3 linked regions of the Drosophila melanogaster genome follow. The protein of the gene in region 3 interacts with the protein of the main gene of each other region in a pairwise test. Each region holds a gene or a part of one and is shown on either strand. Other genes may lie near its edges.

What was found.
Region 1: the proteins of spz4 (region 3) and CG3294 interact in a two-hybrid assay, tested with the Drosophila melanogaster proteins (one large-scale study listed by BioGRID).
Region 2: the proteins of spz4 (region 3) and Mfe2 interact in a two-hybrid assay, tested with the Drosophila melanogaster proteins (one large-scale study listed by BioGRID).

The regions. Positions count from the first base shown.
Region 1 is NT_033779.5:4,791,040-4,800,418, reverse strand, and holds CG3294 (uncharacterized protein), read right to left. Parts: upstream 5,762-9,379; 5' UTR 5,748-5,761; coding exon 5,734-5,747; intron 5,667-5,733; coding exon 4,848-5,666; intron 4,577-4,847; coding exon 4,473-4,576; coding exon of another isoform or gene 4,465-4,472; exon of another isoform or gene 4,444-4,464; intron 4,357-4,443; coding exon 4,200-4,356; intron 4,133-4,199; coding exon 3,856-4,132; 3' UTR 3,838-3,855; downstream 1-3,837. Other genes in the region: slf (schlaff), read left to right, coding at 541-673, 2,781-3,343; fipi (factor of interpulse interval), read left to right, coding at 6,739-6,781.
Region 2 is NC_004354.4:16,265,691-16,276,160, reverse strand, and holds Mfe2 (peroxisomal multifunctional enzyme type 2), read right to left. Parts: upstream 5,211-10,470; 5' UTR 5,065-5,210; intron 4,758-5,064; exon of another isoform or gene 4,721-4,757; 5' UTR 4,642-4,720; coding exon 3,933-4,641; intron 3,637-3,932; coding exon 2,549-3,636; 3' UTR 2,346-2,548; downstream 1-2,345. Other genes in the region: kat80 (katanin 80), read left to right, coding at 595-628, 1,470-1,597, 1,660-1,877, 5,581-5,922, 6,047-6,182, 6,820-7,887, 7,956-8,089, 8,158-8,247 and 2 more; CG12507 (uncharacterized protein), read left to right, coding at 9,667-10,133, 10,334-10,470. UniProt on the Drosophila melanogaster protein: Bifunctional enzyme acting on the peroxisomal beta-oxidation pathway for fatty acids.
Region 3 is NT_033779.5:11,499,466-11,512,472, reverse strand, and holds spz4 (spatzle 4), read right to left. Parts: upstream 10,759-13,007; 5' UTR 10,351-10,758; coding exon 10,300-10,350; intron 6,378-10,299; coding exon 5,089-6,377; intron 5,030-5,088; coding exon 4,576-5,029; 3' UTR 3,824-4,575; downstream 1-3,823. Other genes in the region: Dlg5 (discs large 5), read left to right, coding at 1-864, 929-1,294, 1,623-1,877, 1,933-2,152, 2,211-2,449, 2,509-2,738, 2,790-3,006, 3,070-3,173.

The sequences.
Region 1 (9,379 bases), 6.7 Mb from region 3:
CTAAATACATTTTTATTTATGAATAATGTGATGTGCTGACGCCGATATTGATGTTGCTGCCGATGCTGATCACGTTGCCGCTGCGCTGCGCCACAATAAAAATGAAAATGAAAATAATAAAGTCTCAAGTGTCGTCGATCGTCGATGGTCGGCGGTCGATGGCGTTTGGTAGTCACTGTGGCACTGTGTCAGTGGCCGCCGGGGGCAACCGGTTGCGCATCCTTGACATAAAAAAGCGATCTCGACCAGCAGCTTACATCTTCGGATCGATGCGGATCGTATTGACCAGCGAGCTGAAAAATTTATACGAAATTGCGTATACGCAATATGGGCAGAGGTGGTGGCGAACAAAAGGGCGCGGCATCGTTATCGCTCGATAATCGTGTACAAATTTATGTTAATGACAACGTGTTAACAATTTGCATATCTATATCTGTACCTGTACCAGTTACTTGCCAAATCGCATATGGCCTGGCACTTTGTCTTACCAATAATTCAAGTTTCATGTTTTAACAACTTTTCTCTCTCTTTGCGTTCCAGATGAAAGTCACCCTGGCAATAGCGACTTTCTGCGTGGTGATGGCCTGCAGCCATGCGGCCAGAACCACAACGACAACAGCGACCAAGCCGGGTCGCTTCCTCTCACTGCCCGTGCCCGCCAAGTGCGCTAGCCGTAAGTATATCTATCATCAAACACCATTGCACACATACCCGAAACCAATCCCACAATGGCGAAAAGTAAAAGTGACGAACGCGGCGAGAATATTAAGCGGCTTTGATTGCCAAGTTTGCACTTGAAATAGTTTGGCAATGCGACGTGTAGCTGTTGGTGTAACCACAAATGTTGAGGGGATTTTTTTTTTTTTTTTTTGCTGAAGGTCGTCGACGTGTGAGCCAGCTTTATGGCGCCCTATAAGACTCACTTTCTTTGCCCGCCTTTTTCGTAAACAAATTCCATTTGATATAGTATATATTATATATATTTTTTAAATTTATTATATCTAATGTTAATGTGTAAATGGAGTTGTTCGCCATCAAATTAATTGATTTCCTCTGCACTTTTAAGCTGATAATTGTTGAAATCCGAAGGGGCTTAACAAGCAAATAGTTCAGTTGAAGTGGATTTTCCTCATTTATTCTACGTATGATTGTCGCTGCCAGTCATCGCCTGAGATTACTAACCATTGCATCAGGGCTTAGAGATCGGGCTAAAACGGGCGAGACGCCTGAACAATAGCATCATCGCTGCATATCCGGTACACTAATGAACACTTTGCAGTTATTGCTAATTAGACAAGCCCTAACTCACACCGGCGCACACACTAACGTATTGCTAACACATACATACATGCACACATTGAGACTTAGCCAAAGCCGTTAAACATGCAACTTAATTTTTGGGGCGTCACCGGAGTTGCATATCCAGTTTTTTGAAGCCAGTGCCGTTGGCAGCGACTTAGATCTTTCATCTCTTAGAAAATTCCAGTTATACAAGCGCAGGTTTTTTAGGTCTGCCTTCCAATAGTTAAATCACCTGATTAATAATTCCACTTAATTACCTTTTTGTAGACAACTCTCTCAGGCGTGCATTCGCCCGATAATTAAGATTCGAAAACGTTTCGGTTTTTCTAACTCACTGTTGAAAGATGCCAATCGAAAAAAAAAAAAAAAACGGCATCGACACCCGGATTATTACGCAAGTTTCGGGTTAGGAAAATATATATACATATATGTATATATACATACAGTCAAGATGAGTTTTAGCCACATTATCGCCTTGACCCGCGCACAAAAAGGGCCAGAAATGTGAGGAAATGGCAAGTGGCAGCCGAAGCGGCAGCAAAATAAATAATAATGTGCAAACAATGGCCAATAAGGCTATTATGTGTTGGACTTAAGCTGATTTGACGCTTAGCGTTGCCCGCCTGCGAAGAGGCGTGGCAGGGGGGCAGTTGCAAAAGTGGCCTAAAGCGGGGCTAATGACGCGTGCCAACTGTGGCAACAGGCGGGTATATCTTTACTCAGTTTTTTTTTTTTTTTTTTTTGGGCGCGTCCGAGGGGCGGACATATCGCACATTGCGAAGACTTCCAAAGAGGCAGCTAATCAAATGGTAGCTGGCAGTTGGTAGTTGGTAGCTGGCAGTTGGCAGCTTGCTCAGGCGAAACAAGTTCGAGGATGGAGTTGTCAGGCGGGGGATCCCATTGTTTCCTCGAAAAAAAAAATAAGCTAAAAAGCAAATATATACGCGGGGAAGCTGAAAACCTTTTGACACCCAAGACAAAAGGAAAGCGGCGGCGTCGGCGGCAGGCGCAAAAAGAAGCATGCTGCATAAATTGCGCGGATTGCGTAACACGCCGCCACCGGGGAAGTTGTGTAAGGCCCGGGGCAGCTTCATCCACTGGCATCCACATTGGTATATATAGTATCTCTTGATTTTCGGCGCTACTCGCTTTCGGTTTCGTTTGCCCATGATGGGGCAGGCTGTGAGATATTGCACTGGGCCTCCGACTTCAGATGGAGATGGAGATGAAGATGAGGCTGCAGCGGCGCGGAAAACCGGTTGCCACATGCCACACCCACACGGGAAAAAAATTAGTTAATTCGGAAGCAAAGGAAAAATGCATCTAAGTTTGAATCTTAAAGTTCAAAGGTCTACTATTATTCAATAGTTAAATTATTTTTTATATATTTTGGAAAGCCATAACATACCCCTACTATTTTCTCAGTGCAAGCATGAAAACAGTTTCCGCTAACCGACTTTCTCCTCGCTGACCCGCAGGTCCCAAGGAGTTCTCCTACCGCGGCAAAAACATGTTCCTAACCACCCACGTGCCCGCGCTGGCCAACAAGAAGGTCGATTGGTTGGATGGTCGCAATCTGTGCCGCGAGTACTGCATGGATCTGGTCGCCCTGGAGACTCAGGAGAAGAACAATCTGATCTTCCGCGTGATCCAGCAGAACGATGTGCCGTACATCTGGACGGCCGGACGTATCTGTGACTTTGCTGGCTGCGAGAATCGTCCAGATTTGGAGCCCAAGACCGTCTATGGATGGTTCTGGTCCGCAACCCGCGAGAAGATCCAGGCCACCAACCGCATCCCACAGGGCTGGGGCTACAACCCATGGTCGCAGACTGGCCACAAGAAGCGCCCGCAGCCGGACAACGCCGAATACGACATCAACCAGACCAAGGAGCAGTGCCTGTCCGTGTTGAACAACGTGTACAACGATGGCATCGCCTGGCACGACGTGGCCTGCTACCACGAGAAGCCCGTCATCTGTGAGGACAACGAGGAGCTGCTGCGCTATGTGGCGGCCACGAATCCCGGCATCCGTCTATAGAGCGGCTCGCTGGGCGTTCGCTGTTTGCCTAATTTTAAAGCTACTTATTATAATATTCCTTAAACGAGTTTTTGTATAATTTTTGTTTGTATGTGTACGACGAAAACGGAAGAAAGCAAGACAAATAGACTTTAGAATTTACAATTTCCGATCCTACAAACACCACAAAACCACCCACCCACCAAATCCACAATACTGCTTTCATCACACCTTAGCACCCAGCACTTAGTCTCACTTCTCCTTCCTCCCTACCTTCGAAACTGCCAATTTTACGCGTAGAATTCTATTCCGTTGTAAACAGTTGAGTCGTTTTCAGATCGCACCTTAAATATTTATAGGCAATCCTAAATTGCAAGTGTTTCGCTCTGACCCACTGTCTGTCATTCAAGCAAGAAATTCGGAATCTCTTTAGTATTTTGTTTGAGACACTCATGTTTTGTCCACAAAGAGATTGAATAAAATTTTGTAAAGATCCCATAAAAAAGAAAACACTTGAATTAATACTTTGGTTTTTATTGGCAATGGTTGTGCTGATGATCGGGTGTTGTGGAGTTGTGATGATGATGATGCCTCTTTGATCTGCGATCGTCATGTGAAGATCCCGAGGAGCTGTGCTCTCTTTTAGAGCGCACGGAACTCCGGTCACTTCTTGACCTGGAATGATGATTCCGCTGTTGGTTGTTTTTGAGATCCCGACCTCGGTTGCCCAAGTCCTTGGAGTTTTCCAGTTCAACCTCGGGGCTTGCCGACCAGCGCCAGTTCCTGCCGTGCTCGCTGTGCTCATCCCAACTGAAGAGATAGGGAAAGTATTTAAATAGTTTGCCGGAATATAAACTAATATTATATTTAAATCCACCTGGGTGTCTTGGCCGTTGGAGTTTGGCTGGAGCGTCGTTCACTGCGTGGACCGCTGGTGTACTCCAGTTCCGTGTTGAACAGGTTGTTCGGATTGCCAAACAGGTGCAGATAGCCGCAGTCGTTACCTTTGGGACATTTACGTGTTAAGGACAAACCTTTAAGAAGTCACAGATTGTGTTAAAGAAAATGGTATTAAAACATATGAATGGGCTTGCTTTGAGTTTTGGTTTTTTAAAGGATACGGCTTCCTCTTGGCATGCAGTTCACGTACCGCAGACTGCGCCGCGCCAGGTCCTCAGATTGGAGAACTCCACGTTTAGTCGCTTGGAGGCGTAGTAGCGACCTTGGAGATTGGTAAATGCGCGAAGTGCAGATCTGAAATCATGACGTACGCTTTATAATAATTAGTTTATGACCTCTTTAGACATTATTAACATAACATAAAAGTATGCAAGCGCAGAGACAATACAATATATATATTTTTTGGCGAGAGAACAGGTATAAATTAAAATTGTGAATTATATGAATTAACTTTTACATGAAAATGCTGGGAAATAGGCTGCATTTGAATATCCGAATTGCTTGCATATAAACAATGTCATATTAATTAAATAATAATAATGATAATTAATACTCTCAGACAAACCGTTCGTTTGTGTACTCCACAAAGACGTGACCCCTGAGGTGTTCCAGCGTATTGCGCACCGTGCGGAAGTTGACAATGGTGCCGAACTTTCTCAGTTCTTCGACGACATCGTTGAAGAACTCATCGTAGTCGTGGCGCAGATCCTGTTCGGTCAATTCCAGGTGTTCCTCCGCCGAGGCGTACTCCTTGTGCGTGCATCGCTTCTGCAGCATGGAATGGTTGAAGAAGTGCCGGATGAGAAGGATCCTTCCCAGCATCGGGCGGCGATGGTTGAAGGTGCAGGCGTGACCGTAGCGGCAACAGTTGGTGCGGCTAAAGAACTCGCAGGCTCGTTCCTCCGGATGCGTCTCCATTACACGCAGAAGGTGGCTGGGTGGCTTCTCGATACGCGGGTTGTTCAGATACTCATCCATGCTCTCCATCATGGCATCGAATTCGGCGGCAGCCTTGGCGGCTTTTCGTGTCTCTTCCTCGCGCTGCTTCCGCTGTCTCTCCTCCCGTTCCGCCCGCTCTTTCGCCTGTTCCCGCTGCAAACGCTCCACTTCCTCCTGCTCCTGACGCTTCTTCGCCTCGTCCATTTGGAATTGTCGCTGCGCTGTGGCTTCGCGTCGCAGCCAGGACTCCTCCGCCAACTGGCGCTCCCGTTCGTCGGCTAGTCGTTGGAATTCCTGCATTTCCTCCTGTTCCTGCGACCATTTCTGGTACTCCGGCTGCATAAGTCTTTGGTTTTCCGCCTCTTCCTCCAGTTTATCACGTTCTTTGGCATGTTTTTGACGACGCCGCTTCCTCTGCTGCTTCTTGATTAACTTTCGCCGTGCCCTTTGTATAAATTATATACATTAAATTAAATTATACATTATATTTAAACAAATTTATAGTTATTTACTTCCTTCCCGGCATTTCGCAAAATCAAAACATTGAATTTCGGTGAGCAGCTGAAACGCATTTGTGAGAACACAGCTGATTAATACCGTGTACAGGGTCTATGAAAAATACCACAAAATACTGCAGCACGAAAAAAATTACATTTTTACATTTACATATTTTTCAAAGTTTTCATAAATCTGGCAAATCAAAAATGTTTTGTAAGTTTTCCCTCAAAATTAAGATTTCATATCATAAATGTTTAAAATTTACGAATTCTTACGATTTTTGTAATTCAAAATTTATTATAAATTATAACAGTCTAATATAACACCAAGTTTCGTTCTTGCTATAAAATGTAAAATAACATTGCTGTATAGCACAATGCCAAAAGCCTCAGTTCAACTTACACTGCTATAAATTATGTTATGTGATTTTTATAGCACTGTGTCGAAGAGCTTTTAAAATTTAATAGAAGCGCTTAGTTTGAATATTTTCTTGTTTATCAGATTTGTATATTTTGAATTGAACCGTTTATTCAAGCTTTTTCTCAATTCCCCCTTCCATCGAACCAGAAACTTTCGAACTCGAAAATTCCCCTCTGCAACAATGTTGCCAGCAACATTGTGTCCGGCGATTGCCGAAGATGCGAAAAAAAATCAAATTCAGTGATAAAGTAAAATTCGTGCGCGTCGGTTCACCTACACTTCGTGTCGCCAGAGAAAGCCTTTCTCCTGGCTTTCTCTCTGAGCTCTCCTTTTGCGCTCGGCTCCGAAATCCGAAGTCCGGAATTTGGACTCCGGCTCAAGCGCCGAATCGCCGAGCTTGGCTCACGGAAAACCAACTGAGTTGTGCGAAACTAAGTCAAAACAATTGATGTGAATTCTCGCGGCACAACTTGATATTAGATAAATGAAATAATTCGCGCCGCTGGCACTTTGAACTCGTAATCAGGTCGCAAGCATATTCACGGTTTTTTGTGTAGTAACCACAGGAATTCAAATTCATATTCGTTGAGATTCTCGCAATGCGGCTAATTGGATTTATTCTGAATTTGGCAGCCCTAACAGGTAAGTGGTTCTTACACTGGGAGAAAAAGAAAACAAATGTTATCTAAATACATAAAATAGCCTGATTCTAAAGCTAGCAATTAAGGGATATTTAGAAAACAATATTTTTGGATTTGATGCTATCAATCCATAGATGCTATATTAGTTGTAATAGTAGATTTTTGTAACCATCACTTATTGAAATGCAATTAAATAACTTAAATATAAACTTAAAGAAAGAAGAACATATATCGCAAATTAAAACAATATGTTCTTTACTTACAATTTTTTTCTGTACGCCTAAAAGGGGCATTTAATTTTCAATAATAAACGATTTGACCGCATTTGTTGCTCTAGTGTTACATTGGCTGAGGTGGTCATCGAGTTCTGGAGGGGATGTGGATGGGGATGAGGATGTGGCGACCTCTTCCGAGTTACGTTCTGCGTTTTATTTTCGGACCCATGAACGGTGTTTATTATGTTCTTGTCTGGTCGATGGACAGTTACGAGCTTTAGTAGTATTCATAATGTGGTTGTTGTGGTTTTCCGTCTTCCTCGTCGTCGTCGTGTCGTTACGTATTTATCAATATTTGCCCTCTGTATTTAGTTTTGTGGCTCAAGTGTCTCGTGGCTAATAGAAAATCGATGCTGGCACATTGTTGCACATTTCGCTGAAGTATCTCGAAGATACTGGGAAAGTATCTTGCCGCTTTGCAGCCCTTTTGCGCTGTTCTCACTGCTTTCTGTTGGATTTTTTGAAGTCGCTGTCAGTCAACGATGTTTGCTCTTAGTCTTTCGATCAATTTTCACTGCCTAAAAGCTGTCTGAGGGGTGTTAAGTCGCACTTGAATGGCATTTTCCATGGCCTGCCACATGCCTCTGATTTTCCATGGAACCATTTTCCCGTTTTCCCGTTTGCCATGGTCCTCGTCTCCGGACGACACTTCAATCTGCATGCCCCACATTTATGTGGCGCTGCGTTTTTGGGCTTCTCGTTGCTCGCTGCTCTTTGATTTCTTTCGTCCTTTTGGCCCGCACTCTGCTCACTTCGTCCTGCGTCCTTGCAAATATTTAATTTAAGCCTGCTGTCATCTCTCGCCGAAGGGTATCAACATTTGCTGTCGCCTCTTGTCGCGCAGTAAAGTGGCAACAATGGTTTTATTTATTTCAGCAAAGCATAAATGATTAATGTAATTTTCATTTGCTCAACAAATCTATTTATATGAATAAACTTCGCATTTTTGTAAGCAACGTTTTTTTATAATGGGCAAGTGCATGTCCTTAGTTAGGGACTCCCAACTTCGCCTTGTTTATATACCCTTCACTTTGACCATTCTTCGAGTGGATACACTGCAGCTGCACTTGCTTTTATCCCTGGTAACTGAATCCTTTTTGCGCCCCATTCCGTTTATTGCTGTTGCTCTGGCCCACTTGCGGTTTTGTTTAATTACGCATATTACTCCGCCTTTCGCCGCCAGTGTCATCGCAGCCCATCGCATCCTTCCGTTGCATTCGCCGTCCCAGAAACCGACACATCGCCATATTCCCAGTGCGAACCCCCCCCCCCCCCCTTTAGTTGCTGTTTCTGTTGCTGCGGTCACTTACTGACTGGGACGAGTGTCTTTGGTTGGATCTCTCTTGAGGCTTGTCAACGGCAGGGTGAATTTCCGGAGACGCCTGAGGTCGGTAGATGGAGTCGAGTTGTTTTGCGGTTGCCTCGGGCACTTCCGCCTGCCGTTTGGGGGTTGCATGGGTTTGGGTTACGTATTGTCAAGTGACCAACTGGCTCGATCTGACCAACTGGCTTTGAGGATGACCAAGCTGGCAGCTGGCAGGCGGCAGTCGTTGCCAAATCGGGCTGGTTAATTACTTTGCTAAGTGCTGCTGTCCCATCTCGCGCAGTAAAGCCCTCTGTACATCTCGAATTTATCATATTTACCCAGTAAATTCCACAAATTAAAATCAATACGAAGCCTGCGGCAGGGGGCGCAATCATTAATTATACAAGCGGCCGATGCTGCTGATGCTGCTAATGAGGTAAAGTGTCGACAGCAACGCCCCCAGTGAAAGAGTGTCCCATTACTTTCGACCGCCACTGTGCGCCCTCATCGCCGGGTGGGTGTGCACTTTTAATTGAGGGAAAGGTCAGCGTCGCATCGATTTAAATGCAAAGCGAACCGTAAACAGAGCTATGGACACTGGACCTGCTCTAGATAATGCCGGTGAATTTATAACAATTAGATAATTATTTAATATTAACTGAGCTCATATTGAATTATATGGTTCTTTCAGGAAAGTGCAAAAATTGGAATGCAGAATTGAAGCAACTTATTTTAAATTCGCAGTTATTTCTTTTTACCAAAAAAACCTAGCTAGTGTATAAATCAGCATGTAAATCACTCCAAATCCAATGTGCAGTTTCAGTGTGACGAGGGGTTTGTTGGGGCCGCGGGTTGTTAGTTGTAGGCGTAGATACATGCCCACGCATGGTTCGTCGCTGGCGATTCAATTTAGTTTGCCACTTAACCCCAGAGTGCCCCACGCGGCGGTTTGGGCCGCCACCTTTAACTCTCGCGCTGCCTGGAGGGCGGTTTCACTGCATAGCATGATAAATTGCCA
Region 2 (10,470 bases), on a different chromosome or scaffold from region 3:
TATTTAATTTAATACTTTTGTAAACCGTTTTACAGCTTCAGGGCTGTAAATAATTTAGTAAAATATCAATTAATTTTTTTTCACATTATCTGTTATTATTGTTATTTAATAATACAAATTTATAATACAAATTATTTTCAATATATATATATATATATGTATTAATAATTATAACCAACGACTGTTACTTAAATGTACAAAATGCAATCGCTATGCCGGCCCTGGTAATCGGTGTTCATCGACAGCTTGCTGCAGCCCTCGTCGTCGCTGTAATTACAATGTGATGTGCATTTGTTTTTGTTAATAAGAATTGTCCGATTAAACATTTAGATTATCTGTTTTTAAACAATGCGATCACGGTGATATCGGTTCGTAAAGGTTTTACACACCGTGTGATTTTGTTTCAGTGCGTTTTGTTGTTCGTTTCGTAAATAAGTGGGCTTCATTTTGCCCAAAAAAGACGGGAGCCCAGACAGCTGATCACAGACTTTGGCTCACACCTGCTACAAAAAGATAATATTTATTCGAAAACCTGGCATTCGGATCGAATTTAGCAGCTGCCAGCGTATTTATATAAGAACAATTTGATTGATTATGGCGCTGCCCAGAAAACTGATATCCAAGATCTGTAAGTAAACCGAATGTTCGAAAGTACCGTTGTATATTCCCACACACACACAAGCACGTAGAAATACGACTGCATGTATATATGTGTGTGTGCGTGCGTGTTTGAAATCCTATCGTAAATTCTAGTGTTGCATGCAACTTCAGTAACTTTTAAAACAATACCACGCGTTCTTATAAACAATGCAGATATCCAATAGGAAAATCCCCAGGTGCACATATGTATGTATGTAGATACATATGAACATTGAGTGCAGCTGCAGCTGAATTGTTCGTTTTAAAGTAATTAATATCTTGTTTTACAACGCAATATCAATATCAAATAAACATCATACGGCTTCTTCAGACTTTAAAATAATATTTGTATATAGCCTTTAGAAAACTTCAATTCAATCCCAAGAACTATAGAAGTTCAAAAAGGTTTTAATCTGGGAACAAGTTTTCAATTTCTTTGAAATGCGTACATTTACGTACATATGTATGTACATATATACTGTACATATGTATGTATGTACATCGATTTCCTAGCTTTATTTTATCTGTTTTGCTTTTCAAAATACTAGTAATCCTTGTCATTCATAAATGTGGATAACGTAAAAGGTACTTATTTATTTATATCGACACAGTTTCCTTTGAAAAGATTCAAAAATCATTATAAAATTGTATTTATTGAGTATATACTAATACGAAAATATCATATTTTTATTATTATATATTTGTTGTAAGTTTTCCTTTTGATCTTGAAAAGCTGTTGTTTAAAGCATAGCTTAATCTGAACATACTAACTATATCATCATATCATGAAAACTTGCCGAAGAGGACTAACCAATTCTCATCCTTTGCAGACGATATAAAGGCACATGATAGCAGGGTCACGAGCCTTGATCTTGGCGAAACTGGACGAGTGCTGGTCACCGGAGGAGAGGATCGCAATGTGAACCTCTGGGCGATTGGTCAAAATGAGTGCTTTATGGTGAATATACTAACTACTTCCTAAATATATGTATGTACTAATCGGTGACCCTTTCCTTTCAGTCTCTGACGGGCCACAATCGTTCCATCGATTGCGTGCGTTTTGCTTATAAGGATAACTTTGTCTACTCCGCCGACGACATCGGTATAATCCGAAGATGGGATCTGAATTCACAGAAAATCTACTCCACGCTAAATGGCCACATGAAGAGTGTTCGCACTCTGGACTTTAACCCGTCTGGAGAATATGTGGTGTCCGGGAGCAATGATACCACCGTCAGGTGAGCCAAGGACCGATATATAAATAGTCAGAGTAACCCATGAGTCATTCGGAAGCTCTAGTTTCCTTATCAAGTGGCAGATTTAAAGTTTATTCGTTGATTGAAAAGGGATGGCGATATTCTCCCTCCCTCTTTTAGCTGTGCTTAATCCTATAGAATCGCGTATTTTGGGTTTAATAATCTACACAAAAGAAAAATCTCATATTTAGAAATTAGAAATTTTATATCGGTTTAATGCACATACATATTAGATGCATTGTATCTATATGGTCTTTTCTTAGATATCACTTGACCTATATATGTGTAAAACAAAGATAATATGACTCACTACATTGCACAAAAGGGGACAGGCTGACAAAGATAATATCACTTTGTGTTGTTTAGCTAAAGTTGATATTTCTTTTGGGATCTCATATATCTTATCTCTCAGATCTATTACATCCATGATCTTAAACAACATTGCATTTTCAGTTATGTGATGTTTTATTGGGAGTTTTATAAAAGTGTTACAAAAAAATACTTCTACCACCACGGGCGTTTAAACAATTGCATATGTATAGGCATATTTGTTATAGTGTATGTACAAAAAAAAACGGACGCGAAACGAATTATAAAGTCAATGATAATCCATTGCGACTAAGGCAGACTATGTGTCTCTAGGTGATCCGCGCTTACAGCTTGGCCTGTGAGCTCTTCAGGTCGACATAGGCGCCGGATATGACCTCCTTGCCGGTCTCCACGACCACGGTGCGGAAGTTGATGCGTGTGCCCTGCTTCCACAAGTCCACGCGCAAAGTCTGGCCCGGAATTACGGGTCCGGAGAAGCGCACTTTGACAGCCTTGAACAGAGCCGGGTTGTTGTCCGCAAACTGAGCGAGCACGGCGCGCACCGAGAAGCCCAGTGTGCAGAGTCCATGGAGGATGGGTGTCTTGAAGCCGGCCAGCAGGGCCATCTGGGGATCGATATGCAGGGGGTTCTTGTCGCCGGACAGACGGTACAGCGCCGCCTGGTCCTCGCTGGTCGTATACTGGACGGTTGCGTCCGGTTGGCGATTGGGCGCCGGCTGCAGCGGAACTACACCAGCGATGGGATCCTTCTTGCCTCCGAATTTGCCAGCGCCGACAATGAAAGTGGTGCTCTGGTTGCGCACCAACAGGCGGCCACTTTCGTCGAACGACTCGCTATTGGTGACGACCACGGCGCCGGATCCCTTGTCCATAACATCGAAGACCTTGCCGTTGGTCAGCAAAGTGCCACTGGTGGGCAGATCGTCAACGATCTCTAGGTACTGTTCGCCGTGCAGAATGTTGCTGAAGTCCACTTGGCTGTTGGGCAAAGCCTTGCTGAGCAGCTTGTCGGTGGACATTTGCAGCAGAAGGCCGGGCAGAACGAAGAAAGTTGGAATGGCGGCGAAATCGGCATCGTTTTCGTACAGGAAGCGCATGTCCTTCGCGTTTTTGACGGATGCCCCAATGCCCAGGGCGTAGGTAATAAGCTCTTTGCTATTGAACTCGAAGGCATCCTCGATGGCGTCGCCGCCGCCTTCCTTGAGCTTCTCAAGCACTTCCAGCAGGGTGCCGGAGGCCTCTGCGATGGCACCCAAGTGCTTGGCCTTGGACATGTCGGTCACATTCGACCACACATCCTTGACGTACTCAATGGTCACGGGGTCGTCCAGCGAAGGACGCAGCACAGCGCCCTTGCCGCGAACCATGTGCAGCTTGGTGGCCCAGCCGGCGGCACTCTCGATATAGCTACCTGTGGATCGGAGAAGAGGGAGAGAGAAAACGTTTAATAAACCCTATATATACACACATGTACACATATTCCTGATAAACGGTCTAAGTTCAAACGCTATCAGTATGAATTTCCCTAATCAGGCAGATTATGTTGACCATTTGGATTGGACTACTGGACATATTAAAGATGACTTAGCAGTGGTTGGCCAAAAATTGCATAATTTTGTAGTTCTCAAAGGGTTAAATTGATACAAATTGATATGATAATCAATTCTGAGATAATGCAATTCTCGCATAACTTCGGATCCCACTTACCATTATCCTCGCAGGACTCGTGGCACAAGTAGGCCACTACGGGAGCAATCAGCTTGGGCTTCAGCTCGTTGAAGAGAATGTCGGGCAGAATGCCCTCGGTCATTCGACTGGCGGCAGTTGGCACGATGACGTTGCAAAGAACATTGTTGCGGGCTCCCTCGATGGCAACCGTGTTGGCCAATCCGATGAGGCCCATCTTGGCGGCAGTGTAGTTGACCTGCCCGAAATTACCATAGATGCCCGAGTTGGACGATGTCATGATGATGCGGCCATAGTTCTGCTTCTTCATGTACGGGAATGCCGCCTGGGTGCACTTAAAGCTGCCCTTCAGATGGACATCGTTGACCAGATTCCAGTCCTGTTCGCTGGTCTTCACCAGACTCCTGTCGCGTAGAATGCCGGCATTGTTGACCAGGATATCGACGCGTCCGAAAGCTTTGATGGCCGTCTCGATGACCTTTGCCCCATCGATTACCGAGTTGTAGTCGGCCACCGCCTCGCCGCCGGCCTTACGGATCTCATCCACCACAATGTCGGCGGCCCGCTGCGATGCTCCATCGCCGGAGTGGGTGCCACCCAGATCGTTGACCACCACCTTGGCGCCACGCTCCGCGAAGAGCAGTGCGTACTCGCGGCCCAAACCGGCACCAGCTCCCGTCACCACCGCCACACGGCCATCGTAACGAAGTTTTCCATCGGATGAGGACATGGTCTGTCTATTGGTCAATAGCAATCGCAATTTCTGGTTTCGCTGCACAAATCCGGTCTCTGCGGCAACGCTTTTTCGGCTGTAAAACACGAATGAACCGATGAAAATAAACTGGTTGGCTAATAATCGAACAAGAAAGGAGAGTAGCACTACTTTTCAATCGTACTTAATCTCAAGCGATAATGCTATCTGCCCTGCCCTCGCATATGTGAGTGTAACTCTGGACTCTTCGGCTGAAGAACGTTACCCAGGCGATATGGTCCAAGTCCAGGGGTTCACGGTTCATAGTCAAGTGCTTTTCGGATGGCACCGAAATCGCCGAAATCCGAGATACAAGATACATTTGCACAGTGACGACAGCACAGTTATTCGAACCGCGTGAAATGGCCCACACACACACACATTAAACAAGGGTTAACTTACAGTTCTCGTAGATTCGCCGTATGATGGTATGGTATGCCCGAATATGCACAGATTAACCCAGTATCAGTGGTACAAAGTGCATCACTATTCGCTGCCGAGATAATTTTGCAATCGTTTAATCGGTTCAACCCATGAAAATGCACTAAAATATACTGCCCGCATTCATACGTTTGTGAGCACTAGAAAGTAGTGCCGTCAAAATGCTGGAAAGCAGTGCATCGCGGACGTAAACCTCGGTTCGGAACTTCGCTAAGCCGTAGCAAAGACTCCAACCCGTTTTCATTTTCCAGACGATTAAATTTAAAAATGAACAATTATGGAAATTACACTTATCTTCCACATTTCAAATTCAACTATGTCTCTTTATTTAACATAGAAATGTATAAAACAACAATAAATTGAGCAACAATAAATGAATTAACTAGGAGATTACATATATTATTGAAACTTTATGAATTACATATGCTTTGTTGCTTATTTAGCAAACTATTAACTTTCATATGTCTGCAATCTCAGGCTTTGGGACGTGCAGAACGAAAACAACTGCATTAAGGTATGTCGCGGCCACATGTCCCACGTGAATTCCGTAAAATTCTCGCCGGATGGTCTTTGGATTGCCTCTGCTGGCCTGGAGGGTTCCATACTCATCTGGGACATACGGAAGAGCAAACAGATAATGGAGTTCATAGCCGATCCGCCGGTTACGGCTATCACATGCGTGCAATTCCATCCGTTTGAGTTCCTGCTGGCCGCCGGTCGCGTCGATGGCACCGTTTCCATTTACGATCTGGAACACCAGCAGCTCGTCTCGCAGACCACGCACTTCTATGGCCAGGCCATCAGGTGTATAACCTTTAGGTGAGTCCTGCAAAGAATAATCCGCAATCGTGAATTGATTTATGAAAAGAAATAGTAATATAGTAATTTTGCCAAAAAGTGCATAAATTCTAATTATCTGCATGTTAAACTTTATTTATTTCAGTGACAATGGCGAGTGCCTTTTTGTTGGCAGTTCTTCGGGCATTTCGGTAATTGGATGGGAACCGGATCGTGAGCTGGACCATATAAAAAGCACCTGGTCCTCCTTGGCGGACATGAAAGTGGTCAACAATAAGTTGGTAAGTGAAAGCACTTACTCATTAAGCGAAGCACCCTTCCAAATCTCGTCATCCCCGTTATCTTTTTTGACAAAAATAATCAGTATTTTGGTCAGAATATTCTAAAAAATGGTCCAAATATGGAGTGTCATACCTCGTTGAGTTTGTTTTTTTAATCCAAATCGATTTGCATTCAAATTTGGGAATTCTAGGTTTTTTAAATTTTTTGCAAATTTTGATGATAAAATTTTGATTATAAAAAAGGCGAAAAATTGGCCAAAAACTAATTTTACAAAATCCGTCCAAAAGTGAAAGGGGTGGTTAGTATTGGTAATTAGGAGCACAAAACGGTATTTCTTTTGGCGGTGTGGCCATTTTTAGTCAAGTTATACCCAGAAAACCAATCTTAAATATTGCATTTTATGCCAAAACTGGTTTCACTGATTTTATGCGAAAAAAATAATCGGTATTTTGAGCAAAACATTAAAAATAATGGCACAAATATGGAATGTCATAACTTGTTGAGTTTCCGAATCAATTCGCATTCAAATTTAGGAAATCTAGGTTTTTCACTTTTTGAAAAACCAATCTTAGATCTTAAATGTAAAATGTCTACAAATGGAATATCCAATAAAAACCATTGCACTTCCTTTTGTAGATCTGTGGTTGTCATGAGATCGACACCGTTTCAATCAACACCATCAGTCTGGATCGAGTGATACCATTCTATCAGCCGCCAAACTCACTACCCAACTTTAAGCACAACTCGACGAACCGAAAGAGCTTTACACGTGGCAACCAGAAGTTCAGGCTGTCAGTTGGCGGTGCCAAGCCGGCACAGGTGCAGGAGGAGCACGAGGGCGACAAGAGTGGATTGTCCTCGCCCAACTATAGTCTGGAGGTTGTGAACGAGGCGGTGCTGGAGTCGGCGGAGACTTCTCCAATGTCCTCGTTGCCACCTGTCCACTTGGCTTCGATGGCCGGATCGTCGGCGGACTTGGCGCCGCATCATGTCGTATATGGCGGAGCAATCGATTCTGCCCTAAGGCAGGGTAAGTACTCCAGAGTGCCTGATAATATGGCCAGCTATGGCAGTAGTTACGGGGCCATCGATACCCGCCTGATGTCCTTGAACGAACCCAGTTCACTGCACAAGCCGGACATTTACAATCTATATCCGCTGGACAAGAACGAGGAGGCGGATGTGCAGCAGTTGGAGTTCAATCTGAACGATAGCAATCCGCCAATACTCAACAACTATGATAACTACGAAATGGCCGAGGACTTTCCGGTCAATCAGAACCTGAACTACATTACCAATAACTATAAGCCAGTGCCCGCAACCTCCACGATCAACGCCTCGTCCAAGTCGATCAAGAAGACCACTACCACCACCCTGCACAAGAGGACAACGAACAACATGGCCGGCGCGAAGCAGACGTCCACGGGCATCTTTGGTGGCAGCAAGCTAAGCCAGGTCTCCTCGGTCAGCTCCATGGAACTGCACAAGCTGGACGACAACATGGTACTGAAAAAGTCCTCCTCCTCGAATGTCGTCAACAAGAACAAGCGGCCAATGGGCTCGGCCCAGAGTCAGTTCAGCAAGGAGAACAATCAACAGAAAAATATCAATGTGGAGATCATCACAAAGCCACCGATGCGATCCCGCACCACCCTGGATATGCGTACGTCGCACCAGGCTAAAACTCAGGAAAAGCAAATTCACGTGAGTGCTTAAAAACTTCGCTTGGTGCCCTTTATTTAATTAATTAATTAATTAATTAATTATTCCAGCAGCAGCAGCCAATGAACAATCGCATTATAATGGATGATCACGACTTCGATATGCTCTCGAGATCACACGAGGCTGTGCTGCAGGAGCTGAGCAATCGTCAGTCTAGCCTGGATTTGCTGCGGCACGCAACAAGGTAAGTATTGGTTAAACGGTCTATTTGAAACATTCGATCGATTGACACATCCATTGGTAATCATGTAGGTCTCACGATGTGCTGGGCGCATTAAGGCAGGCAAGGAGCTGTGGCAAATCCATTTTCATAGATCTACTCGGAGCCATACTGGAGAAACCGTAAGCATAATATTATAAATATTAAAGCGACAGCGATAACAATAGGAGTTTAATCCCATAACAGGTCCTCGTGGAACTTGGACTTCTGCATGTTTGTGCTGCCAGAGATTTACGAACTCTTGCAAAGCCAACACAAGTTGTAAGTATGGATAAACATAAACGAAAAGGTAGCCCAAGTAATCCCAATCTGTATTTTAGCCACTTTACGAGAGCCTGTGATACCCTGCGTATTATATTGTCGAACTTCTTGCCAACTATACAGGAGAACCTCGATTCCTGGGCCGCCAATGGCCTGGGCGTCGATGTGACACGCGAGGATCGACAGAGGAAGTGCGCCGAGTGCCAGCGGTGGTTGTTGCAAATCAAGAACCTGCCCGAGAGCACACACTTTGGGTCCACGCTGTCACAATTACAAAACATAATTATTTTCTAAGGGCAACGCATATCCAGCTGTAGATGCTCCTCGGCGTTCAAATCAGCTCTTGAACGGTACAAAGATCGTCAACAAAAGAAAACCACCAGCTTCCCAAAGCCTGATTACGAAATCCAGTGTCCTGGGGAGTGGCCTCATTTGTCGCTCTAAGCTGCCAAACTAAGGAATTTTAAACAATCGTTTCCGGAACAGCAGCTCTAAGACGAGCTCTTCCGAACGCTGTTTATCCAACATTAACATTAACCTTTCGGCCATCTATTCATCGTCATGTTGCGATGAAGTCAACTTGTGAACTAAGAAAGTTACGTATGATTTCTTTCGACACAAGCTAATTTCAGCAGACCATGATGATTGAAAAATGGGCCTTAGTTATTTAATGATTTGTAATATTAATTTGTTATGCAAACTAATTTATATAATAATTATTTACCTATACCTAAGTCCCAAAATTTGAAAATATATAAAAGAAAACATACGTGAATTCTATAAACTATTTGCGATCAAATATTCTTTTAGGTAAGTACACTTTTCAGAGTTTACGACTAATCTAAAAAAGTTCATGGCGATCTAAAGCAAATGTACATATATGTGTATGGTAAAGGTATGTTGGTGAAAGAAAGAAATGAATAAAATTAGATTGTTAAAAGGTAGCTGATTTATCTGTTTTTGTTAGATTGCAACTAAACTAATGGCTTTACATGCATTTAGCACACAGAGTAGTGCAATCAGAGAAGTTCTATATTGTTTATATTATTATGCTTATTTTTGTGCAAGCGGTGAAATCGGGGAATGTACTGCGAGTATTGCGGTTCACTGCTCCAATAGAATGACCAACAAAGCAGCCAGAACAAACGGCTTTGAAGTTCAACTTACCATGTCGCCGAATCATTGTAGCGTTTAATGCCCAACCTTTCAATAGAGTTTTGCAGCGATTAGTGGAGCACTTCGACCTGGCACTCCGAGCGCATCGGCTGTACTTCTGCACGATGTCCGAGAATAGAGTAATCCATATGTGGATGCGATGTCTGATGCCACTGCTGCTGGCCAACTGCATTGCGGCGAATCCCAGTTTCGAGGATCCTGACCGTAGTTTGGATATGGAGGCGAAGGACAGCAGCGTGGTGGATACTATGGGCATGGGCATGGGCGTCCTGGATCCTACGCAGCCAAAGCAGATGAATTACCAGAAGCCGCCATTGGGTTACAAGGACTACGATTACTATCTGGGATCTCGACGAATGGCAGATCCCTATGGGGCCGATAATGATCTGAGTGCCTCGTCCGCCATTAAGATTCATGGCGAAGGCAATTTGGCTTCGCTAAACAGGCCAGTCAGTGGTGTCGCCCACAAACCACTGCCCTGGTATGGCGATTATTCCGGCAAACTGCTGGCCAGTGCTCCCCCGATGTACCCGTCCAGGTCCTACGATCCCTATATTCGCCGCTACGACAGGTGAGTGTGTGTTCAAGTAAACCGAAACTATCGCAAGAAGATAGTTCATCTGGACAGTTTTTTCTCAGAATCTGATAATTAGTTTAACAAAAAAATGAATATTGGAAAAAAATGATTATGAAATTAATCTTAACTGAATATGAAATTCTGCTCTTCTCTATTATTGTCTTTACTATTATTAAACTATTAAATTTTTGCAGATATGATGAGCAGTACCATAGGAACTATCCACAGTACTTTGAGGACATGTACATGCACCGGCAACGTTTCGATCCGTATGATAGCTATAGTCCCCGGATACCGCAGTATCCGGAACCCTACGTTATGTATCCCGACC
Region 3 (13,007 bases):
AGCTACCTGCGGCGACGGCACCGCACGACAGCGTTGGAATACCCACTGATCTGGACTACCATCCGCACCATCACACGCAGACCAACGCAATGCCACATCCACATCCCCATCCCCATGCTCCTTACTTGGATTACGGGCACGGTCTAGGGATAGGTCCCTATATGGGGGTGGGCGGTGGAGTCTCGGGAGTTGGCGGAGCTATCTATGAAGGCGGAACATTCCCGCGCAAGAAAGACAATCAGCGATTAAGGATTCCATCTAATCCCAGTGTGGCTAGCAAAAGCAGCAGTATGGTGAAGAATAGCTCTGGCAGCATCGACCATCATTATGTGACGAGCACGGGGCCAGTCTCTGGTGGATCCATGTCAGCCTCGTCTTCAGATCGTGCACCTATGTCACTGATGAGCTCTAGTATTCACAACAGTTACGGTGCAAATATTGCAGGAGGAAATGGAACTGGATCGAGCATAGGAGTTGGAGGAGGCGGTGGAGGAGGAAGTGGCCGCGGTTCGCCCATGCCGCAGGTCCATGTGGAAGTCCTTAGCCATGGAGGCGGCGGAAGTGGCAAGCGCAACTCCAATGTGCCTGCGGATTTTCTCTGCCCCGGAGACCTTAGAAGAGTCACCATCGACAAGCGCGACAAGTCGCTAGGTATCACCATTCAGTGCAACAACAACGGCGGCGGAATATTTGTGTCAACCGTCGCTGACAAAAGCACGGCGATGCGTGCCGGTCTCCAGGTGGGCGATCAACTCTTGGAAGTATGTGGCATTAACATGCGGGCGGCCACGCAGGAGATTGCTGCCAATGTGCTGCGGCAGTGCGGCGACTCCTTTACAATGCTCGTTCAGTACAATCCGGAGAGTAAGTTTATCGGTCAGTCCGTATACTCATCCCATTCTAATTGTGCTGTTTACTTTTTTTGCAGAGTTCCCTTCAATTGAGTACGAGGGAGCGCACAATTTGGAACCAGAATCTCCCATCAATCATTCGGGCTCCCCGACTCCGCGCAACTCTCCCCGTCCTCCTGCCCGCAACTCGCTTTTCCCGTTGCCGATGCAGCCGCAGGCTCCTTCAACGAGACCCGGCTCAAGGGCTCCGCTGTCGCATCAGTCGATTAAGGACCAGAGCTTCACCGATAGCCTTGAGAACCAGTCGGATATCAGCAGCAGCCAGGACATGCCTTCATCGGCGGCCACCACCACCACAACGACTGCCTCAGCCACGTCAACGGTGTATGATGAGGAACCTAAGCCATCCTTGCCGCCGCCACCTGCATCCGTTCCAGCAGAGAGTACGTAGCCACCACTCTACACCCACTACTAACCACACTCCCGGGATAGTAGCATTTCCCCATAATTCGTGCCTTCGACGGAGAAGGTAACCGTGCAGCAGGAAGAGTTTCCGGCTGTATCAGGTACATATTCTCAGGGCCGTAAAGAACAAGGATTTTAGATAAAATGGCTCGAAATATTTTAACTCCCAAAATCTGTAAATTCTAAAACGGAAGTGTATGAGCGTTAGTTTCACAAACACATTATGTATCGCAGCTTCTTCCCTACTAACAAAGCCGTCAATCTTTCGTATTTTGCACATGATATGACTTGGACTTTCAATTCCAGCTCTAAGGTATGTGACTCTGCACATGGACAAGTCAAAGAACCTGGGCATCAAGCTATTTGGGGGCAATAAAGTTGGCATATATGTGCATGACGTCGCGGTGGGATCGCCTTCTGATCATGCTGGAATTCGCAAAGGCGATCAAATACTGGAATACAATGGTGTAGATTTGAGCGGAGTCACCGCTGAGCAGGCGGCCAATGAGATTTCAAAGCTTACGGATACGGTCACCATGTTGGTACAGAATAAGTTACACAGTAAGTGGTGAATTCTTTCGTTGATTATGATTATGATATAATGTATTCCCTACAGCCCTAAAGCAAATTAAAGACGAGCCTGGCGACTCCTTTTATATTCGCGTGGGGTTTGACCGGACTGGTGAGTTGAACGAGGACGATTTGCGCTTTGTTAAGGACGAGGTGCTCTACGTGGACAATACGGTTTTTAATGGCACCTTTGGCTTGTGGCGAGCCTGGAAGCTGGATGCCATGGGCCATCGGAAGGAGTGCGGCATAATACCCAGTCAAATGAAGTACGTTGGCAAATTACTTAAGTTTGAATTAGTTGCACATATTTATATATAATTGCAGGGTGGAGGAGGAACTGCGTTCGGGTGAGGTGGTCGACTGTGATACGGGAACGGCCAGACGCGGCAGCACTTCGGCCAGAAGATCATTTTTTCGTCGCAAGAAAAACCAGCGCAGCTCGTCCCGCGACTCCACGGAGATTGCCAGTTTCAGCAACACACAGCTTAGCTTCTTTCCAGACTTAGGTCTGCTCAACGATGATGGTGGAGCCCTTAGCTACCAGCGTGTAGAGCTTTTAGATTGTACGTACATTTTTTATGAAAACTAAAAGAAGTAAGTTAATGTAAACACAATCTTTTAGCACCCATTCGCCGGCCCGTGCTGATTATCGGACCGTTGTCCGAGTGTCTGATGGTTCGCCTTACAATTGACTTCTCCAACCTCTTCAAACTGTGCGAGGTGACGGCCATGGACTGTTCGCAGGAGGCCATGGAGGAGGGTCTAAAAGAAAACATCTTTGTGGATTATCGGCGGAGGGGCAACAAGTTTGAATGCACCACCGTTGAGGCGATTAGCAATGCCTGCAAAAATGTAGGTAAACTCCAGAAATTTTCAGACATCTTCATTAAATATCCCTTACAGGATCGACGCCACTGCATCCTTGACGTTTCCATTTCCGCCGTGGAGCGTCTGCAGCGCCTACAAATCTATCCAATTGTCCTCCTGCTGCGCTTTAAGTCTGCCAAACAAATCCGAGATATTCGCGACTTTGGCACCGACAAAATCTCAGCCAAGGCGGCCAAGGAGATGTACGAGCGGGCCATGAAGCTCGAGACCGACTATAAGCAATACATATCAGGTATAACTTTATTTTAATTAATCACAATTCAATGTGAATAATTGCTTTCTCATTTACCTGCAGCCGTAATCCCCGGCGTCAGTATCAAGCACATGTGCACCCAAATTAAGGATGCCGTCGACAAGGAGCAGGACAAGCTACTTTGGGTGCCCGTATCGAGTGGCTGATCCGATCGGATTGCCGCCTGGACGGACAGTTTGGACATTGGAGCATCCTAGTTTTAGTTATTAGCACACAACGCGACACTCACGATTAGTATTTTCAATGCGCATCAATAGTATCATATTTGTATTTGTTTTGTTCAACGCAGAGTATTCGATTGGCGTCAACTTGCAACTTGGAAGTTAGGGCGCGGTATTTCTACCTGTTTCTTGTCTCTGTCACCTAATTAATGTCTATAGACTTACTCTTTATTTGCGGTTAGTCCGACCGCTCTGACGGCAAAATATGGTCAGCTTTAATCACAAAAATGGAAAATGCTTCCACAATTTATATATCTAATTTATATATACCGTTTGGAACTAGATTTCCTTCTCTGGCGACATTCTAAGCCAAAAGTCTGTTTGTATGCAATTTATTATTATGTAATTGTAAGTAAAGGCATCTTATATTTTTTTATTATTTACCCAAACGATTCGATAAACTCGATGGCAATAGAGCGTGGCTTTAAAGCCTTCAACTTTTCAACTGTGTATATTAAATAGTTTCGACTATCCAATTACCTTCGTGAACCGCTTCAAAATCAAGCTTTACTTAAAACTTATCTAATTCTGGCAACTGCCTTTGCCCGACTACGAAATTAAAAACGCGACTAGCTAAGCAACACTAGAAATTTTATTTAAATGTGTGATAGACAAAATGCTATCACTAGCCTTAAGTGGTAAATGGTTAAACTGAAATGAAGTGCCTTAAATGCCTTCAAATTGCTTAAAAAAAAAAACAGAAAACCTTTTCTACAAAATAAATACAATTTATAAATCTAATTTATCATCGTACACTTGTGTACATAAAGAGTAAACAACAGTAATATATCAACGTATTAAATACAATAAAATCTATTTTATACATAAGCATTCTAAATATACAGACTACATTTTTGCAATAAATATTTTTCCAGAACGCCTATGCTTTCGTTTAGGGGTCCATCAAAAGATTTGGGGTTTATGTTATGGCCACGTTTATGGTTATCCTTATAGCTATCATTTGAATAAATAAATACATAACTCTAGTAAATACCATCGTACGCAGCTCAATGGCCGCAATGCGTTCGTAAGTATTTCAAGGTACATTCGCTCTGCAGTTTTTCCGTAAATCGGGCATTATGTTGGACTATATTTACATTAACATAACGCCGCTTTTATGATTTAATTTATAATTATTGATTACTTATAGGTTTAAAGTGAGATTGAAGGTCTGTGTGAAATATGATCGAAGAATGATCGAAAGTTATTAACTTGATCGGTTGAAGTTTCTTAAATGTGTATTGTAAGGACTAATTGGAAATTATAGCTTAATTCTATAAAACCTAATACTACTGTACAATTGTTCACAGGAGGGAATCTAATGGGATTAGTCCTCCAAGAAATCGAACTCATCACGTGGGCGATACCACTCTTCCGTGGCATGTTCGTAAATGGCCCGTTGGACCTCCGCCTCGGCAGCCTCGATGGGATCGGATTTTGGAGCATCGAAGCGACTGTCGGACCGTGGACTACGTGATGTTGCGCGGAACTCCATTGGTATATTGTAGCACTTGCATATGCAGCTGGACGGGAATCGGAACCAGTCGGAGAATATCCCGCGGCACTCGTTATGCGGATCGTAGGCCAACAATCTGTGGAGGCGGTACTGCTGTTCACATCTGCATCCATCGCGGCAGAACATTTGCTTGAACTCGTGGGTGCACTTCTCCCAGTGGACGTACTGCTCGAAGGGATAGAGATTGAGGAGGGCTAAGACCTCGCCGCGGGTATTGTTTGCCCAAAAGGGAGCCACCACTTCATCCTTCACGGGACAGGCATTTCTGCAGAGAGATCAATATTGTATTATATAATTTGATAAGCAAATGGGTCATATACTTACACTCCACGCAAGTTGCTGGCCACAGCTACGGGCTCTTGCTTCATGGCATCCTGAAACAGCTGACCCTCCCTTAGCAGTCCAGACTTGCTGGCGCTTCCGGTAGAGCTGCTCGCTGGAGTTCCACCCGCCGGAGGGGATGAAGCTGGAGCACTTGTACTGCTCGTCGTGGTCAAGGGTCTGCGCAACCTCTCCGGACTAAAAAGCCCGCTGGAGGTGCCGGAGAAGAGCGAGGCGAAGCTGACGGGCGTGGTCACGGATGCGGGTGAGTACTTGGTTACATTGCGACGTATCAGCAAAGTTGCTGTTGTTGTGGTTGGTGTCGAAATGGTACTCGAGACTTTTGGACTGGCTGCACTGGTGGTCGTCTCTGCCGGTTTCCTTTTCCTGATGGGTAAAGGTGTCGTGCTCTTGGGCACAGATGTGGGCTTCCCAGTTGTGGCTGTGGGTGGTTCTTGTGATGGACTTGCCTCTGCGCTTAGATTACGAAGCCCCAACTGTGGTGAGTCAATGATCTGTATATTTTCACCAGCTGCGGACGAAGGTTTGGCAGTGGACGTGGTTGAAAGAACGGAAGGGGACACCACTTCGTAGACGCTGTTCGATTCTGGACTGGGCTGGATCTCCACAATGTCTGTTTCCGATTCGGGTTTTTCGTGTAAAGGTGGCGCAGTTCCTTTAGTAGTACTTATCGTACTATTGGTATTTCCAGGCGTTGTGTCGGTAACCTCATTTGGAACTCGTTCCGTGGTGCTACTAACTATTTCCGGAGCAGTGGTTGTAGTCGTCGTAGCCTTAGTCGTACTTGTGGTAATCGTGGAGACAGGTCGAAAGTGCGGCTCCATTAGCACATCGTTGCTCTTGAAGCTTCCGAAATCTTCACGCTCACGATCGCGATCTCTGTTGTTCATCAGATACTTGGCACTCCGCCGTCCGCCATCCTTGCTATATCGCTCCGCCGTCTCCTCAATGTCGTCCGCATCCACCTCGTTGTTCTGGATCTCATCCCGCAGGATGGAAATGTGCCTTACATCGCCGTACATGCGCTTCATCAGACCCTGGTTCTCGTGCACGAATCGTCGTACAGCGTGCCATGGATAAGCGGATCCTGGCAGGTGGCAGAACGCCTGCTGACCCAGGTCGCAGGGAATCGCAGCCAGGATCTGGGCCCTACCACGTCGCGATATCTTCCCATTGGGACTGCACGAGTTGGCCGAGTCGAAGCCAAATCCGGCGGAAGAAAGTGGTAGAGCAATCGTCATTAGGATCAGCAAATACCCGATAACCTCGATCTGCAAGAAAATATATGGGAAATATAGTCAATTGGTTTATTGTCCCATTTTAAACTTTCCATAATAAAATGTTTTATTAAACTAATCTTTTACTTCGAATGAAAATGCATGTACGTTTCACTTCTTGTATATAAACTGTTTGTTACTTTACACATTTCCTGGTTTTCGAAAGGCTTTTTATCCCATACGGATTGATTGGCCAAATGACCCATCCAGCTAATGGAAGTACTCAGCAGCTCCAGCTGAGCAGAGGAAATCTTAATTGAAACCACAATCGCTGGCTGATAAGCAAATGGCGTGACGCTAAAACTTCAGTTTTTGTAGCAGCATATATTGTGCAGGCAAGTGGGCTCAATGCACCTGGACCAGAGGACAGACTGAATTGGCCGGGCGGCTCTCACTCGGCTAAAACGAATGGCCAGAGCCGGTAGAAAATCAAATTTTACTTTCACGCAAAGCCAACTGGACAATCACAAGTCATAAAGATGATCGATGTGCATTTGCATCCCACCTTCAAAAAAGCAACGCCAGAGAGAATGGCCGCAATTTCAGCAATCATTGCACAGAGACAAAGTTTTAACACTTTCTTTTAAAATTTAATTAAATTATATAGGAGTATATTATGGCTTAAAATTACATATATATATTTGTAAATAAAAGAGAAGTTATAATAGTATAATTTAAAGACTTCTTTTTCTTTGATCAATATCTGATACCAACAAGTTTTTCTTACTGCATGGATACCACCACGCCAGACTAACCGCCGTCGTAGCCACATCACCCTGCCGTACCCTCCACCCCCCGCACCACAACGCACCGCACCACTCGAATGGCTGACCAACAACCGGCAGCTGGCGGCGGACAACTTGCAACTGGACAACACCGGCCACTGGCAGCCGGCGAAGTGAAATGCAAAGAGCAATCAAAAGCGAAATGGGTTACCCAAGTAAAAGTAAATTGCGCCGCGCTCGCTGGAAAAGTCATCGCATTTCCCGCCCCACCTCCCGCGCCCTGGAGCCCTTTCAACTTTCCTTTTCGGTTGCACAATTGCCGCCCAAAAGCCGGGAACATTGGTCTGCAAGTCGGTCCTAATAGGGTCTCTTGGACTCGCAATCTTGGCTCTTTCTTTGACAACCAAACCGGTTGGCCAAAAATCATATGCACCCCGTTTATATGTACATATATCTCATATATGGCGAGCACATATCGATCGCGGGTGAATCACGAAAAGAAAAGAAAGTGATCGGCTCCCTTGGCGGATGTGTGTCCAAAATGTGAGCTCAACACGATTTGCCATGCGGTTAGGTAATAGTGATTATTGATCTGTGTTTCGTTTCGGGAAAATTCCAGCATCATTAGCATACGTAAGCAAGGTCAATGCATATGATATTTCGTAATATTTTCCAGCCAATTTTCGAATACCTTTTCTAAAGTTATCCATTCCATTCAGATTTGAATTTAATATAGATATTACTTTTGAGTATTTTTCTACAAATGGAAGCTATCAAAACAATAATTTCCAGCAATCATAGCTAGAAAAAAGTTGAAAGTCTTCTCCGTTTCTTTCAAGCAAATTATAATTATTCTCACACATCATGTACCCGAAAGAAATTTAAATATCAATGACAAGGTGGAATTCCTGCTAGCGCTAACACCCTTTTCTCCCAATTGGGAAAAGTACTACAATCAAGTGCTCCACGGCACCCAGACCATGGCAATTACGAGAAGAAAGTGATCTGAGCTCTGATTCGGAAACCCGAGGATGAGACCGCAACTTGGGTGCGAAACAAATGGCTCTACGCGAACTAATTTGTGTTGAAAATCAAATCAGGTCAGACCGCAAGAGGCGAAGACGCCTGAAATGGAAAGCAGAATTACTTTCGCTTTGTTCGGCTAAAAGTAAATAAGGCAGCCTGGCATTAGTGCCGATTGTCATGTGCATCGGGACAATTAAGCCGAATCTCGTTCATTAACATTGTCATAATTCTTGGAAGCGCAGAAGCCACGGCGAAACTGGAGCAAATACTGCTGTCAGTGTCCAAAGTCGGCGAAACAAATCAATATGTCCAATCAGCCGTGAGAGCTTGCAACTGCGCCAGTCTGTGCTGGCAGAATGTCTTGAATCGAGCTGGTCTCATTCGATTTCACACAGCTCGAAAACATAATTCAAGAAAGTAAATTAATTAAGAAAAAATTAATTTCTTTAGTCTAGCCAATTTTGAATTAGTTCTCTTTAGTTTTCTATGCTCAAGAAAATATAATTAAATATTCTTCTTAGAAACTGTATTACTACTGGTAGCCATTTGTGTTGGCTCGCTACTTTTAGTTGCTCTTCTTGTGGCAGAACTGAATGCGGCGACGCAGTGCCGATGCTGCGGTGCAGTGCAAATGGGCATTAAGTCAACTCGCATCGAGGAAGACATTTGTCAATCTTAGACGATGCCGAAGCTGTCGTCAGAGAAACGTATTGCAACACTTTAATGTGTCAGCGACTTTCTACGAAAACCCAGTCCGCACGGTGGGCAGGAAGGCGGGCGGAGGGGGGAGGGGGTTGGCCGCGAGGAGGAGACGTTCCAGTCTATGTCTTCATTTCCCAAATACAAATACAATGTTGCCCGCCAGCAGTCCGTCCGCCCGACTCTCTTGGCGAGTGGCTAGAATGAATTATTTATAAATTCAATTGGCTCTGGAAATGAAGTTGATGTTACACTTAACCAAATTTGGCCTGACCGCTGCTGTTTCTGCTAATTGCCAGGCGAGCAGCTGGCAGCTGGCGAGTGGTGAAATTTTCCCCATCAAAACAAAAGACTCAGGCGACAAACTCGACGAGGTTGCAGGCCAGCCGAAACAAAAGACTCAGGCAACAAACTTGACTTTGACGTGCTGCAAGCTCCTCACTTCCCTTCCCCTTTCGAGGAATAGTGCATATTCATGGCGAAATGTAAAATTAAGCGCAAAAATTTCACTGATTGGACACCGCCGGAAAAGGCCGCGAACTTCGTTTCCCAATTTTGGCAAGTCGATATTTTTGTTTTTGGGCAACCGATTCGCTTTCGGTTTGAGTTTTGGTCTCGACTTTTGGCTTGGGCCAAATCCAACTAGTCGATCCCAAGTTAGCCGCATTGCTCTCGAAGAAAGTGAAACTTTTTATTTTATTCCGCTTCTCTCTCTCTCTCTCTTTCTGTCTCTTTTACACTCCTTTGCTTGGGACCGGCAATGCCAGCCAGTAGAGCAAACACAGCGGAAACTTTGAGCATTTTCGTTGTTGGTTATGCTTTTATGATTGCGTAGTCATGCGTTAAAAGAAAACAAAACCCACTCGCGGACAAGGGGCAGAAGTTGTTAATATGCATAAAACGCTTAGCCCAAACGTTTATCGATTTCAACACATTTTGAGAAAAAATGACGGGGACGCGTGACCATCTTTTAATTGCGATTTCATTTTCATCAATGGCTTGTGGCCCAAGGGGACACCAATAACGAAATATGCCCAGTCGATTGATTAATTGATTTTTGGTCAATTAAAAGGAGATTTTATTGGTTTAGATATGAATATTTTGGTTACTTCAGTAAACGAAATGTGACATACCAATGAAAGTCATAACACAATTTTATACATTGGTTCAAAGTTGTAAAACGGCAAAAATTGCAACACAATACACAATAGTCACTGTTTTCTTTTGTTAATAATAAGAACTGGTAAAATTTCATTTTTTTTTTTATTTTAATTTCAAAGCATATTGAATATTTAAGTATTTTTGGGGCTTTGAACACTTTGCATTGCTTGTATAACATCAATATGTTTACATTGTGGCCTGTATTTACCATCTCGAGCTTCGCTGTTGTTTCTTTCGCTGTTGCAATTGTTTAATTTTTGACACTTTCTTATGCAAGACGACCGCCTTGGGCGATCCCCACTTACCGTTATTAGTCTAGTGATCGGCGATCGCCTATCCATTTGGGTGCGCACCATTGTTTACTTTCACTCGATTGACACTCGCGTCGATGGTAAATGGCAAATGGCAATGGCAAATGGCAGATGCCGACTGCCGAATGCAAAATAGGCGCAAATAGAAATCTGTCAAAGGATTTGGCAATGTTTCACGCAGATTTCACACTCGCACGCTCACACACACTCGCAGGGCAATGAAAATTAGTGGCAAAGTCCATATTTCAATACAATCGCAAATCGTCTGCAGTTTCCGCGACCTCAGGGGTCCCGCTTCTGTTTTTTTTTTCGTTTTTGTTTGGTTTTTTTTTTTTATTGTTTTCTTTGGACCGGGCGCTTTTCCCACTGCGCCGAAATCGAGGAAATCGAGGAGAGCCGACGAAAAGCCTGAAATCACGTTCACACGCCTCGAACTCACGTTTGCAACTGCGACGCCACCAGCGGCTGATCAATCCCAAGTCCCACGGCAAACCGTCGGCCTCTCTCTTTCTCTTCCACCGCCGCGCACCCAGCTCCAATGCACTGCAAGAAATTGGTGGTGCTTCTATGGAAGTTAAGCGCACCCATACGCAAAACATTCAAATTCTTGAACTACATGTTGTAAATCTAGAGTTGCGAAACTGTGCACTTTGTCAATCTCTGGATACCAACTTTTTTTTAACAACTATACATTATTAAATAATAAATATATGTTTTCTTATTTAACGTATATTGAGCATAATGCGCTCAACACCTTTGTTATTGATTCTATTTTTGTTTTAGAAATTGAATTTAATGTGCATTAATTTTTCATTATAAGAACAACACAAGTATAAGCACTATTCAACTAAATTTGAATATAATATTTGATTAACTTATAATCTCAAAAGCCAAAAAAAATCAGTTTTAAACATACATTTTGATGGATTCCCTGAAATAGAAGAGATTAAGAGACTTTTTGGAAAGTAATAAGAATCTAGAGAACTTAACTTAATGAAACTAAAGTTACTTAAAATTAAAGTCCTACAAAGCTAATACTAACTATTTTAGCTGTTACTTCCATTTTTCTTCCGAGTGGAGAGAAAATCGAGTGACGAAGTGAGAGAGCAACGTTGCGATTGAGCAGCGAAAACGCTTCTTATTTTTACTGTGCGGCTTGCTTTTGTTTTTGTTTTTGCCTTTTGGTTTGCTTTTGCAGGAAAACTTTTTCTTATTTATTATTCGTCGACAAACGCTGAAAAACGACCCAGCGCAAAAAAAAAACTAAAAAAAAAAAAAATTAAAAACACGGGAGTACATCGACAAGAAAAAGCGCCACACGCAACGAGGAGTCTTCGGAAGACAGTCTTCGGTTCTCGTGGTGCCTCCACCGCTCCAATGCTCCACCGTTCCAATGTTCCGAAGCGGAGAGTGCGTCTTAGTAGGTCAGTGGTGGACCCGAGCATTTGTTGTTGCCTGGGCTTTGTTTTGATTCATTTGCGGCCGCTGGTGTTGCAAGTGTTGTTGCTGCTGCTGTTGCTGCTGGCGAGGATTAGACGCCTCGTCGAGAACAGAGAGCTTGTTTTGGCGCGCATCTTCGGGACTTGATTGCGGGAACTGCACTTAGCGAGGGCTGACTGTGTAATGTAATAAATAAATATAAATAAATACCATAAGCCATCGAACAATATATATATATGTTATATTTTCTTACGTTAATGTTTTTTTCATTTTATATACATATTTTTATTTTATTTGTTTGTTTTTTTTTTAAATTATTTTATAGTGATATAAATTTATACTATACTATGTAAATGCATTTAATTACTAATTTTAGTATCTATAAGGCGGTGCATAGCAACTTTCGATACTGTTTAAACCACCTCCGCTGACAGCAAAACAAAAAACTGTTGAAAGCGGTCTGCTGTCCAGTCTAACCGCGGTTTAATTATCGTTGTGTGTTTATTATGTCCTCGCCCGCCCCCCTAGTCTGCCCACCGCCCACTATCCACCTCTATGTCTCTCCCGCCCGTCAGCTCCGCCCACGAGACGCCGCACGAACAATATTGTAACCGCTCCTCATCGTCCGTTTTTTATTGGCCACGAAAACTCCCATTGAGTAAGAGTTGCGCCACCAGGTGGTGCGGTGGGTGGTGGGGCGGTGCGGATTGCTTGGCGGATGTAGCTAAGGTCCAGCAGTGGAGTGGGTGGTCGCTGATGGATTTTCCTGCCTTTTTCCGCTCCCTTTTCTGACCGCAAAAAAAAAACTGGTTTTCCCCCAAACAATTGCCAAATAATTGCTATTGCGAAATATTGTGCAAAAGCGGCTGGCTCCACAGCATTCATAAGAAAAGTGCCTAAGTTTGCAATAATGTTGTATCTTACGGTTAAGTTAAAATATCTATGATATAGCCCATGCTAAATCATATCATTTTGTGTGAGTGACACCCGAAATAAAGGAATCGTATCAGCTAAGTGCCATCGATATTTGGGTCAGAGCAAGTGAAAGTGCAAAAATAATAACTGTGGCTGCGGTTGCGCCTGAGAAGCAGGTTCACTTCACTCCAGTTGAGCGCTTTAATCGGAGGTCTGGGCCAGGAAAGTAAAGTGCGTATCGAAACTATAAGACCAATGAATGAATGATTCGAATGTTATAATCTAATCCATTAATATAGCTATTTCAATCTTATTCATAGGGAAAAAGAAATCGCGTTTCTTAGCAA